Linked DNA regions of Arabidopsis thaliana. The protein of the gene in region 2 interacts with the protein of the main gene of each other region in a pairwise test. Each region holds a gene or a part of one and is shown on either strand. Other genes may lie near its edges.

Region 1 (4,599 bases), about 15 Mb from region 2:
AACAATTATCTATCTATTGTTGAATTGAAGAAAAAAAAACAATTATGTAAACTGTTTAGAAACTTTTGGGTAGGTAAATGTCAGCATCGCGGGGATGGCTTTGGTGCAGCTCACACGAGAGCTGTCTTGTTACGTGCAATTTCTTAATTGGTTGGTAGAAGGATAAAAATCCTTCATTTGAAAACGATCTACACTTTTTGGTTTGGAGAAACATATACCCTTCTTTTATACACAAAGATTAATCACAACCATTAATAGAAAATCAATTATAAAAAAAAAAACAAAAAAAAAACTTCACAACCATATAACATCCATTGACGAATTTCATTAAGTGAACGGTTGTACGTTAAGATAAGAAGACTGCAGAAGAAGGTAATAGATATGAGGTGCTCTCTCATTGGCTATTACCAAAAAGGTCTCTGCCACATTTTATGATTTACCAAACTCTGCCTTTTTTCCATGTCAACTTCTACTGTAGGTCCCTTACTCACCTGCATCTTGGTCAGATCATAGATTTCACAAACTGATTGTGTTGCAGTAAGATCGTAGTTAAGAAGCTTCCTAAATCTAAGAAGGCTTAACAAAACAAAATTTGTTGCATCTTCAAAAGACAATTTGTGTATGTGTCTATTTGTATATTGTGTAAGAAGACAATTTGGAATATTAATCCGAATACCGAATATCGGATAATGTTTCTTTATAATTCATAATGTGTTTCAAAATAATCCATTATTCCAAGACGTGTGCCAACCAGTGTTATCACTTCATGTAATCATTTTTTAGCAGGGTTAAGATTTAAGACAGCTTTAGTTTGAGGGCATTGTCTTTCTCTTAGAAGGGTCGTAAACGGTGAACATGTCACACACAGTAAGTTACCAAAGTCAAAATGTCGGTTTTTCATAACTTCCCCAATTCTTTTTATTTAACATTATCATTTAGCAACCAGATCAACACTACACTATCAATGGAAAGTGTTTTTTTTTCATCTAGATTTTGATTTGAGTTTTTCGTTTTTGAATTATTGGTTTTTAAAAACTAGATCAACCAGATTTTTAGTTCTATTGACGCGTCTGTGTTTTTTTCTGATGTTGTCAAGATAGTAGGGACAATATTCTTCTTCTTCAGCAATAATGGGTTATATAAACTGACAATTTTTCTCCAACAAAAAGCAGTTGCATTAGACAAGATCATAACTTTTAAAGTTTTTGGCAAAAGAACTAAATCTGAAATTTTCAAAATTTTCTTTTGAAATAAGGCATCAAGTGTCAGCATATTCATCTTCTGAATCTCCCTCCTCTACCACCACCACGACCGCCTCTTCTTCCACCACCGCCACCGCGACCTCCACCATGTCCATTGCCGTTAGCTCCAGGAGTCTTCATGTTTTCAGGCAATGGGAGGATTTGATCAACACACTTCCTGAAGCTGAAATCGTCTGCAGTATCGTCTTCCCTAACCAGAAAGAAGCATCTGCTTTTCCACATTGGGTGGGTTCTTACTTGGAAGGTTTTGATTCCTCCTCCAATCTTCTTTTCAGGCTCAGAATGGCCCTTCTTAATCAGATCTAGCAGCACCATGTGCTCATACTGAAATGTACAATCCAGAACAAAGTTCAGTACAACGAGTTAGTTAGTTGGAAGCTCAAAAGAAACTGCAACAACTGTAATATATTACATGACTATGCAATGTTTTATCTTTTATTTGTGCCCTCAAAATTTGACATTAACTTCATTCTTCTAACCATTATATGACATCAAGACCCAAAAAAACTTTCTAATTCACACACAATCCACAATCATATAATCAGTAAGAACACGATACATTTGAACTTTTCAACTAGTAAAAAAGCTGCAAAGGAGTCCAATTTACAAGCTATCTCCACTTCACTAATCCTCTCCCTAAACATAATACAATATCCACAATCATCTCCCTAAACATAATACAATATCCACAATCATTGTAAACAACCACTAATTTGAGACAAAAACAAAATTCTAACACCAAACACTGAATCCAAAATCAAATCATATGACCAATACAAAGGCGAACCCAATTCTCAATTTCTTTTAGTTTAAATACAAAGCACGATCATCATCAGATTCATTGATAAAACATCTTCCTAAACACATCACAGAACTTAATAATCACAATCAGAGCTCTTAGATTAACCTATATAAGTCTCGAGCAAAGGAATGAATATTTCCAAAAAATTTGAAACTTTACAATAAACAAAGCCAAAAGACAAAGACGAAGAGTAAACCCAAATATGTATTACCTTATTAACATCGAGATCAGTTGGCCAAAAGTGTAAAAACTTGACAAAGTAATCGAACATCGCCACAGAGGTAACAAACTCCTTGGGACCAAGTTTAACCGGACCTGACTTCTCTTCCTCTCCAACCTTCTGCTTCTTCGATTCACCTCCGTTCTCTTCTTCCTCTGTCTCCTCTCTCTCACGTTTCTCATCGCCGGTCTCGGCTTTCGGGGTCGCGGTTTCGACTTCCATGTCCACTTTCTGGTCTGGGTTCACTTCCGCTGACAGGGAATCGACGATCTCTTGTTCTTCAGCCATTGTTAAGCTAGTAAAGCTTCCGCCTTTTTTTCACCTTTCTACGATTTCTAGGGTTTAAGCTTGAGGGTGTGTGACCTACAGAAATCGTCTAAGCGGTATATTTATATGACTTTGGTTTCCGATTGAACCGAACTGGTTCGGTCTATTTGATTTTTTGGCTCGACGGCATACACTACATGAAAACCAGGATTTTCAATGTAGTAACTAATTTGTCGTCATTGATCTGTCCAATTATTATTTTTACGTCTCTTAAATCTTTTCATTTTAAAGTCTACATTTTTCTAATATATTTTTTTATTAATCATCTCAAGATATTTTTTTAGTCTACAAATTACTTTTACTGTTGTAGAAAATTTGGATAATAGTCAGTAATTCTAAATAATAGAATAAAAACTCAAATCTTAATATAATAGTTTAACAAATAAATCATATTATACTTTTTTTGGATAAAAAATGTTGATATAATTTACAATGTTATTAAAAATAATTTTTGGGATACCTAAACGTTTTAGATGTTCAGTCTGTCGGGATATCTTGGAGACTTAACTTATTGATCAATCACAATTTTTGCCAAAGAGGAAAATGTCAAAGTCAAACGAACATCTTTTGAAATTATTTACATCTCGTGGAATTAATGGAACTTCTTAAATTTTTCAAAAATTTGACATAATTGGAATATATTTTTTTTGCTTCTAGTCAATCTTACCATATTATCTATCAACAGTCAAACACCTCAATCTTAAATTTTCTAAAAATAATGGAATTATTTTATCGTATTTTGGTAAAGAGTTATTTTTGTAATATTATCTAAAATCTAAAAAGAACCAAGATAGATAGGTACAAAAAAAAAAAAAACTTTTTTTTGTGAAAATCTGATTATCATAACGTTACCGTGTCAAATCGTCAACCTCCATAACTCCGGTTTTGTGTATTTAATTATATATTTATCTGTTTACACGCGCTTCGAAATTTTGATTTACTTATCTGAATATTTTTCCAGACCGAACATCAAACAAGAAAACACATTTGTCCGAATTTCATCTTGAGAGCTGTTTGTGCCCTTCAAGAAATCGAAAGAGAGCTTCTTTCCCCCATTTTCTGCGATTCACGATATTTCTTCTTCTATAGGTAATCATAATTTGATCATCTTCTCTTTTATCTCTTTTTTTCTTTCATTTTCTTCTTGGGTTATGGTTGGTTGATTCTGCTATTTGGGAATTTTGATTTCTGTGACTTTTGGGGTTTCAATTTCATTCCTGAATTGTGATGGAATCGAATGGTATCTCTCTTTTGTTTTCATGGTTGAGATGTGATTCTGAAATTTGGGGATTTTCCGATTAGGTTTATGTCTTGAAAATTTGGGGAAATTTGGAGACAAAGACATATTTTAAACTCAGATCCTAATCTCTTCCACCAAGACATTTTCCCTGAATTGTTCCGCTTTAATGAAATGAAATCGATTGTCTGAGCTCAATTATGATGTTTCGATTCAAAGAAATGGAGATTTTTGTGTTGATGATGGAACATTTATCATTATAAGAGTTATGAGATTTTTATTTTGAATCTTTGGATCTTTCTTGGTTTTTAACAGGACAACGTTTTTTTACACATTGAGGCTAAAAGAGAGATGGCTGATGATCAGAGTTCAAGTACTGACCGTCTCGTGAAACCTGAAAGTTTAAACTCAGATAGAGGATCCAATCAATCTATTGAATCTTCTGGAGAGAGTTCTAGAGCTCAGGGTTCCACAAGCCTGTCTACTACTAAATCTATGGATGGTAAGAAAACCGAGGAAGAAGAGACAACGGAACAACGCGATGTTGATGATGAAGAGGAACCGCTCATCCAATCGGTTGAATGTCGTATATGCCAAGAGGAGGATTCCGTTAAGAACCTCGAGTCCCCTTGTTCTTGTAGTGGCAGTTTGAAGGTGATAATTTTATCAATGAATCTCATTGTTTTATTTGTTTTTGTTGGTATCTTTCGTTTAAAACAGTTCTCATCAATTTGGTATTTTGTGTCTATAG
Region 2 (4,689 bases):
TAGCCAAATTCTGAGATTAAATAAAGATATTAATCATAAGTTTAGTTTTTGTTAGAAAAGAACTATGGATTCACACGTTAGACGGTGTATATTGACGAAAATATCTTTATCAATTTCTAATATTACAATAAGACTTCCGATAGATTTGAGAAGAGGAAAATTCAATTGTAAAAATACAGTGAAGAAAAATATGTAATTTTCATGATATTTGAAGAAATACATATGACTCCTTACATAACGTGAAATATTGACAGATATGTATAATTATTACATTAAAACATAGTTATTTTATGAAATACTAATGATATATTGGATAAAAGACATGTAATTTGTTTATATAACATGAAATCTTGACAAAAATATGAATCTGTTCCAAAAAAAAAATATGAGATTTTGTTAGATAGCTTGACAAAAATTTACAAGTCAATGTAAAGACTTAAGAGCATGTTTTGTCTTTGAAATACATGCGTTTTTTAAATCATATCTAATCTTATATGTCATGCCGACGAGTGATGGAGAAAATCCGGTGAAAGAGGAAAAAAAGAATAGATAGGAAAAAAAGAAAAATAATAAAAGGGTAAGATGGACCAAAGATCTTATAAAAACCCTGTCGTTGGTTAATTGTATAAATTCTCTAACAATTATATAAATTCAAGACCTGAAAGATTCATTTTTAAGCGCAAATGAAAACAATTGGAATTTCACATATACCACAAAAAGGCAAAAGACAAATTTCATTTTTCGAAAAGATCACAAGGAGAATCGAAAAACACACTCCCTATCCCTTACATACTTAATAGAAAACCAACAACAGACCAACTTCTTATGTAACTTTTGGTTTTCTCCACAATGGGAAGTTAGCAGATTTGGCAGCGAGTCTTTAAAACTTGTTGCATCAACCACGGCCGCGACCTGCTCCTGTTTTTCATAACATATTAGAGTTTTAGCTTAAATCCCATTGTGGCAAGACACAGATATTTGAAGTATTCTAGTAAAATCAGAGTTTTGTGACAAGCTTTGTTTGTGTATTTTTTACCTCTGTTGCCACCCATCTTCCCCATTGAAGTTCCTCTGCCTCTGCCTCTGGCTCCTCCATCATCCACACCACGTCCTCTTCCACGTCCAACACCTGGTGGTTTTCTATCTGCACATATTCAACCATCGTTATTAACACCTGAAGTATTCTCAATGTCTACTCTGGCAAAATATTAACACCTCAGAAAACTCGAAGCATATCTCAGTAAAGGTACAATATAGACATGAGTAATACTATACCTGTGCGTGTCTTCTCCTCCTGTACTTTATCAATCACCTGAAGAGAGAAGAAATCAATTTAAGTCAGTTAACTCAATCTAGGTTGCAGCAGTAAGAACATAAATAGAAACAGCATATGACTGTCCTTCTAGATGAAGATATCGTTTATGGTATGTGAATATAATTTGATTTTAGAGGGAATGAAATAAAGTAGAAACAATAGAGAAAAATCGCATCAGAAACACAACACAGCAAAGTCCATAAAAGTGGGTCAACATTCTGGTCAGCAATAACCATTCCCTGTGATATCGTCTAAGACGCACTACAACAAGAGGCACACCATCTGCTGAACAAGGTTCCACAGAAAAATGCCTCTTGGAGCACATATCTGATTTGGCTAAGCATCATCATTCCAGAGAGAGGGGAACAAAGAAAAAACTAGATCAAGCAAGAGATATATACACACACACACAAAAAAAAATTACCTCATCCGGAACTCGAAGGTACTTGATTGTGTTACCACGGATATAACATTCCGGCATCCTCCAAAATCTATCTCCGTCCTAGAGTAATCAAGCAGCAAAATATATGAGTGTCAGCTACACAAAATTTCATCACGAAGTCTAAACAAAGTATATTTGTATCAACATATGAAAACATAAGATAACCTTTGATGTACATATGACTTCACGCAGATGGATGTTCATCCAAGTATCACAATTCACCAAATGCCCATTGTATGTCTCTCCATTCTTAAGCTCCACGAGCTACCAAAACAAAACAAGATTCAAAATTACAGTAAAAGGAAGTTCCTTTAGATCCCTAATGCAATGCTCACTTAAACTCAGCTTCACTTCATATATAACAAAATTGTAATCAAGGGTCGAAATTTTACTCACCATAGGATGCCCTTGAGCAGTTTTAAGCAGCGATAGAGGAAGCTATAAAATCAAAACAACAGCTTTCAGTTAATAAAAATTGAAACTTTAACGCAAACAAGAAAGAAGGAAAAAAACCCTAAGTTTGTCTAGTAACTTACCATCTTCTTAAATCAGAAGATTTAGAGATCCGTTAAGAACCTGATGACATCAGAGAAGTATAACATTAAACCCTTTATAAGATGCGGAAGAAGCAATAGCGAAAACGGAACAAAAACCCTAATTCAGCTACTAAAAAAAATCTGAGAGAAAAGGGAGAAACCTTGTAATATACTCCGAAGATCGGCAAGAAGGTGAACGATTCAAATATGAAAGAGATCGAAGAATAGAGAGGCGTCGAAACTTCGAAATCTGTTTTTTGCTTTTTTCTGCTTCTCGGGTTTTGACAGTGAGAGGGATGGATTTCTAATGAATCGGTGGTCTTTTAGTTTTAGGTCAATGGGAACTTTTTTGAGTTTTGCACTCGAGTCCCTTAACTTTATAATATTATCTGTTTTAGTATATATTGTTAAACATATCAATCTAGCCAACTAATCCGATGTCGTCCAGCGGTTAGGATATCTGGCTTTCACCCAGGAGACCCGGGTTCGATTCCCGGCATCGGAGCTTTTTGTTTTAATTTTTCGTATACTTTGTCTACACCAAAGTGTATTTGTAGCCGTTGGCAATGGTTACCTGGTGGAAAATAACTAATCATTAATATGTTATTGATGCTCTCGAAATTAATTAATTTACATCACTAAGGCGAACTGTGTGAATCAAACAAAGCCAAGTGATATGTCAAATCTAATCCTAAACTTTTACAATTAAGCTTAAAGCCTCAGCAATGTGATTGTTAAAGCTATTTTGTAACCGACAATACTTCAGACCTCTCTAAATTATCAACCAACTCGAACGTTATTGAACCTCGACCAGCTCCAGTAACTAAATCTTAATCAAAGTTTCAATTACACACAACTGTGTAATTGTGAATCTGTAACTGGTTTGTTTCAGCACATGAAAAGCTGATAGTCAGGTTCGTGAGCTCCGACATTCAAGTAATTGACATCAACTGCGGTTGTTCCCAAATCATCTGGTGGAGAAGGATAAGACATAAAGTTTCAATAGAGCATAAATCTTTAAGAGACTTTGAGTGTATGTATGTGTAATCAAATGTGATCTACAATGAAGCAAATTGATGAGTGAGATGAGAGAAGGTATAGAGTTGTTCAAACCTTCGTATATTGTTCTTACAAACTTAACATAGTCAGGGATGAGATCTCGGTATATGATTCCATCCGGATGCGCATCAAGAACCACAAGTACACCTACAGATCAATCAAAGGAAAGGAAGATGTCAAACGTAACACTACAATTGTTTTCCACGATACTAATGAAAGACAAGATCATCTTGAAACTATGAAGTGTTTAGATCTTTTCTATTACTCTCAGAGATGAAAACAGATATTATACCTGGAGCAACCCAATCTGGAGAAGAGTTGCTAGGTAATGGTGCAAGCCAAAGGATATTCCTCAAGTTCATTGAATCATTGTATTTCACGTCAGATCCTAACAAAAAGGAGATACAATCATAATACTGAAGATTTAAGGGATTTCTGTGACCATTTCTATGTTTCAAGAGATTGCAAGAAAACTCACAGTCACACGGACAAGAACCCATATTACCTCTCTGGCAATATCCCATGTTGTAAGGAAACACTTTCTTGTCATAGGCTGGATACTCTTTAGCATGAAACCTACCATCACCAATCAGATACTAGTCAACAACAGTACTCAAAACCTAGCTCAACCATGTAACTTTCTATAAATATTCCCCAAAACTCATTACTTACGTTCAACCTTTCTAAAAACACTGCAACAATTGTGTTAAGAATCAGAAACCATTCTTCCTTTATTGATAACTGTTGGTTACATTCAAGAACACAAGAACAAACCCTAGAGAGTTCTCTTCACTCTCAAAGCCTAAATGCTCCCAATTAACCAAATGGTCTAGACCCCCTTATATCTACTATTCTAGTGCCTATCAAAGCGTCTCGATTCTTACACAACGAAGTCAGTAACAGAACATGATCATCATTACTATTTCAAGAGTCCTAGTGTGTGTTGAGGAGACAAAGGAGACTTACAATATTCCAAGGCGTCCAGATTCTGAGGCAAGGAATAAATGGCCATGGAACAAATCATATCTACTCAATGAAACATTCAATCCAACACTAGGTCCCCTAGATTCAATTAGATGAAACAAGAACTCGAAATATGAGTTCACTTCCTGTTCATTAACATCATCAATCAGATCACTACACCATAAGATCAAACAGTTCACAAAATAGCTTCTTTTTTTACCTCTGCTATAAAATGACGACCATAAGGAGTTCTAGTAAGTTGACATTTATCTTTTCTTGATCGTTCAACATCAGGAACCTATAAAACCAAATTTTAACCAATTCAATCTAACGAACAATAAACCAAATCAAACCATTAAATTGAAGACGAACCG

What was found.
Region 1: the proteins of emb1644 (region 2) and AT5G62440 interact in a two-hybrid assay, tested with the Arabidopsis thaliana proteins (one study listed by BioGRID).

Annotation. Positions count from the first base shown.
Region 1 is NC_003076.8:25,071,346-25,075,944, forward strand, and holds AT5G62440 (EMB514 (DUF3223)), read right to left. Parts: upstream 2,725-4,599; 5' UTR 2,573-2,724; coding exon 2,276-2,572; intron 1,587-2,275; coding exon 1,275-1,586; 3' UTR 772-1,274; downstream 1-771. Other genes in the region: AT5G62460 (RING/FYVE/PHD zinc finger superfamily protein), read left to right, coding at 3,849-3,851, 4,164-4,502. UniProt on the Arabidopsis thaliana protein: May play a role in ribosome biogenesis and in determining the rate of cell division. Involved in a process essential for nuclear and nucleolar functions.
Region 2 is NC_003076.8:9,813,511-9,818,199, reverse strand, and holds emb1644 (Small nuclear ribonucleoprotein family protein), read right to left. Parts: upstream 2,701-4,689; 5' UTR 2,455-2,700; intron 2,334-2,454; 5' UTR 2,297-2,333; coding exon 2,294-2,296; intron 2,196-2,293; coding exon 2,154-2,195; intron 2,022-2,153; coding exon 1,923-2,021; intron 1,818-1,922; coding exon 1,740-1,817; intron 1,671-1,739; exon of another isoform or gene 1,533-1,670; intron 1,313-1,532; coding exon 1,276-1,312; intron 1,145-1,275; coding exon 1,037-1,144; intron 919-1,036; coding exon 896-918; 3' UTR 582-895; downstream 1-581. Other genes in the region: AT5G27710 (T-box protein), read right to left, coding at 3,182-3,264, 3,407-3,499, 3,645-3,740, 3,858-3,928, 4,319-4,461, 4,536-4,613, 4,688-4,689. UniProt on the Arabidopsis thaliana protein: Component of LSM protein complexes, which are involved in RNA processing. Component of the cytoplasmic LSM1-LSM7 complex which is involved in mRNA degradation by promoting decapping and leading to accurate 5'-3' mRNA decay.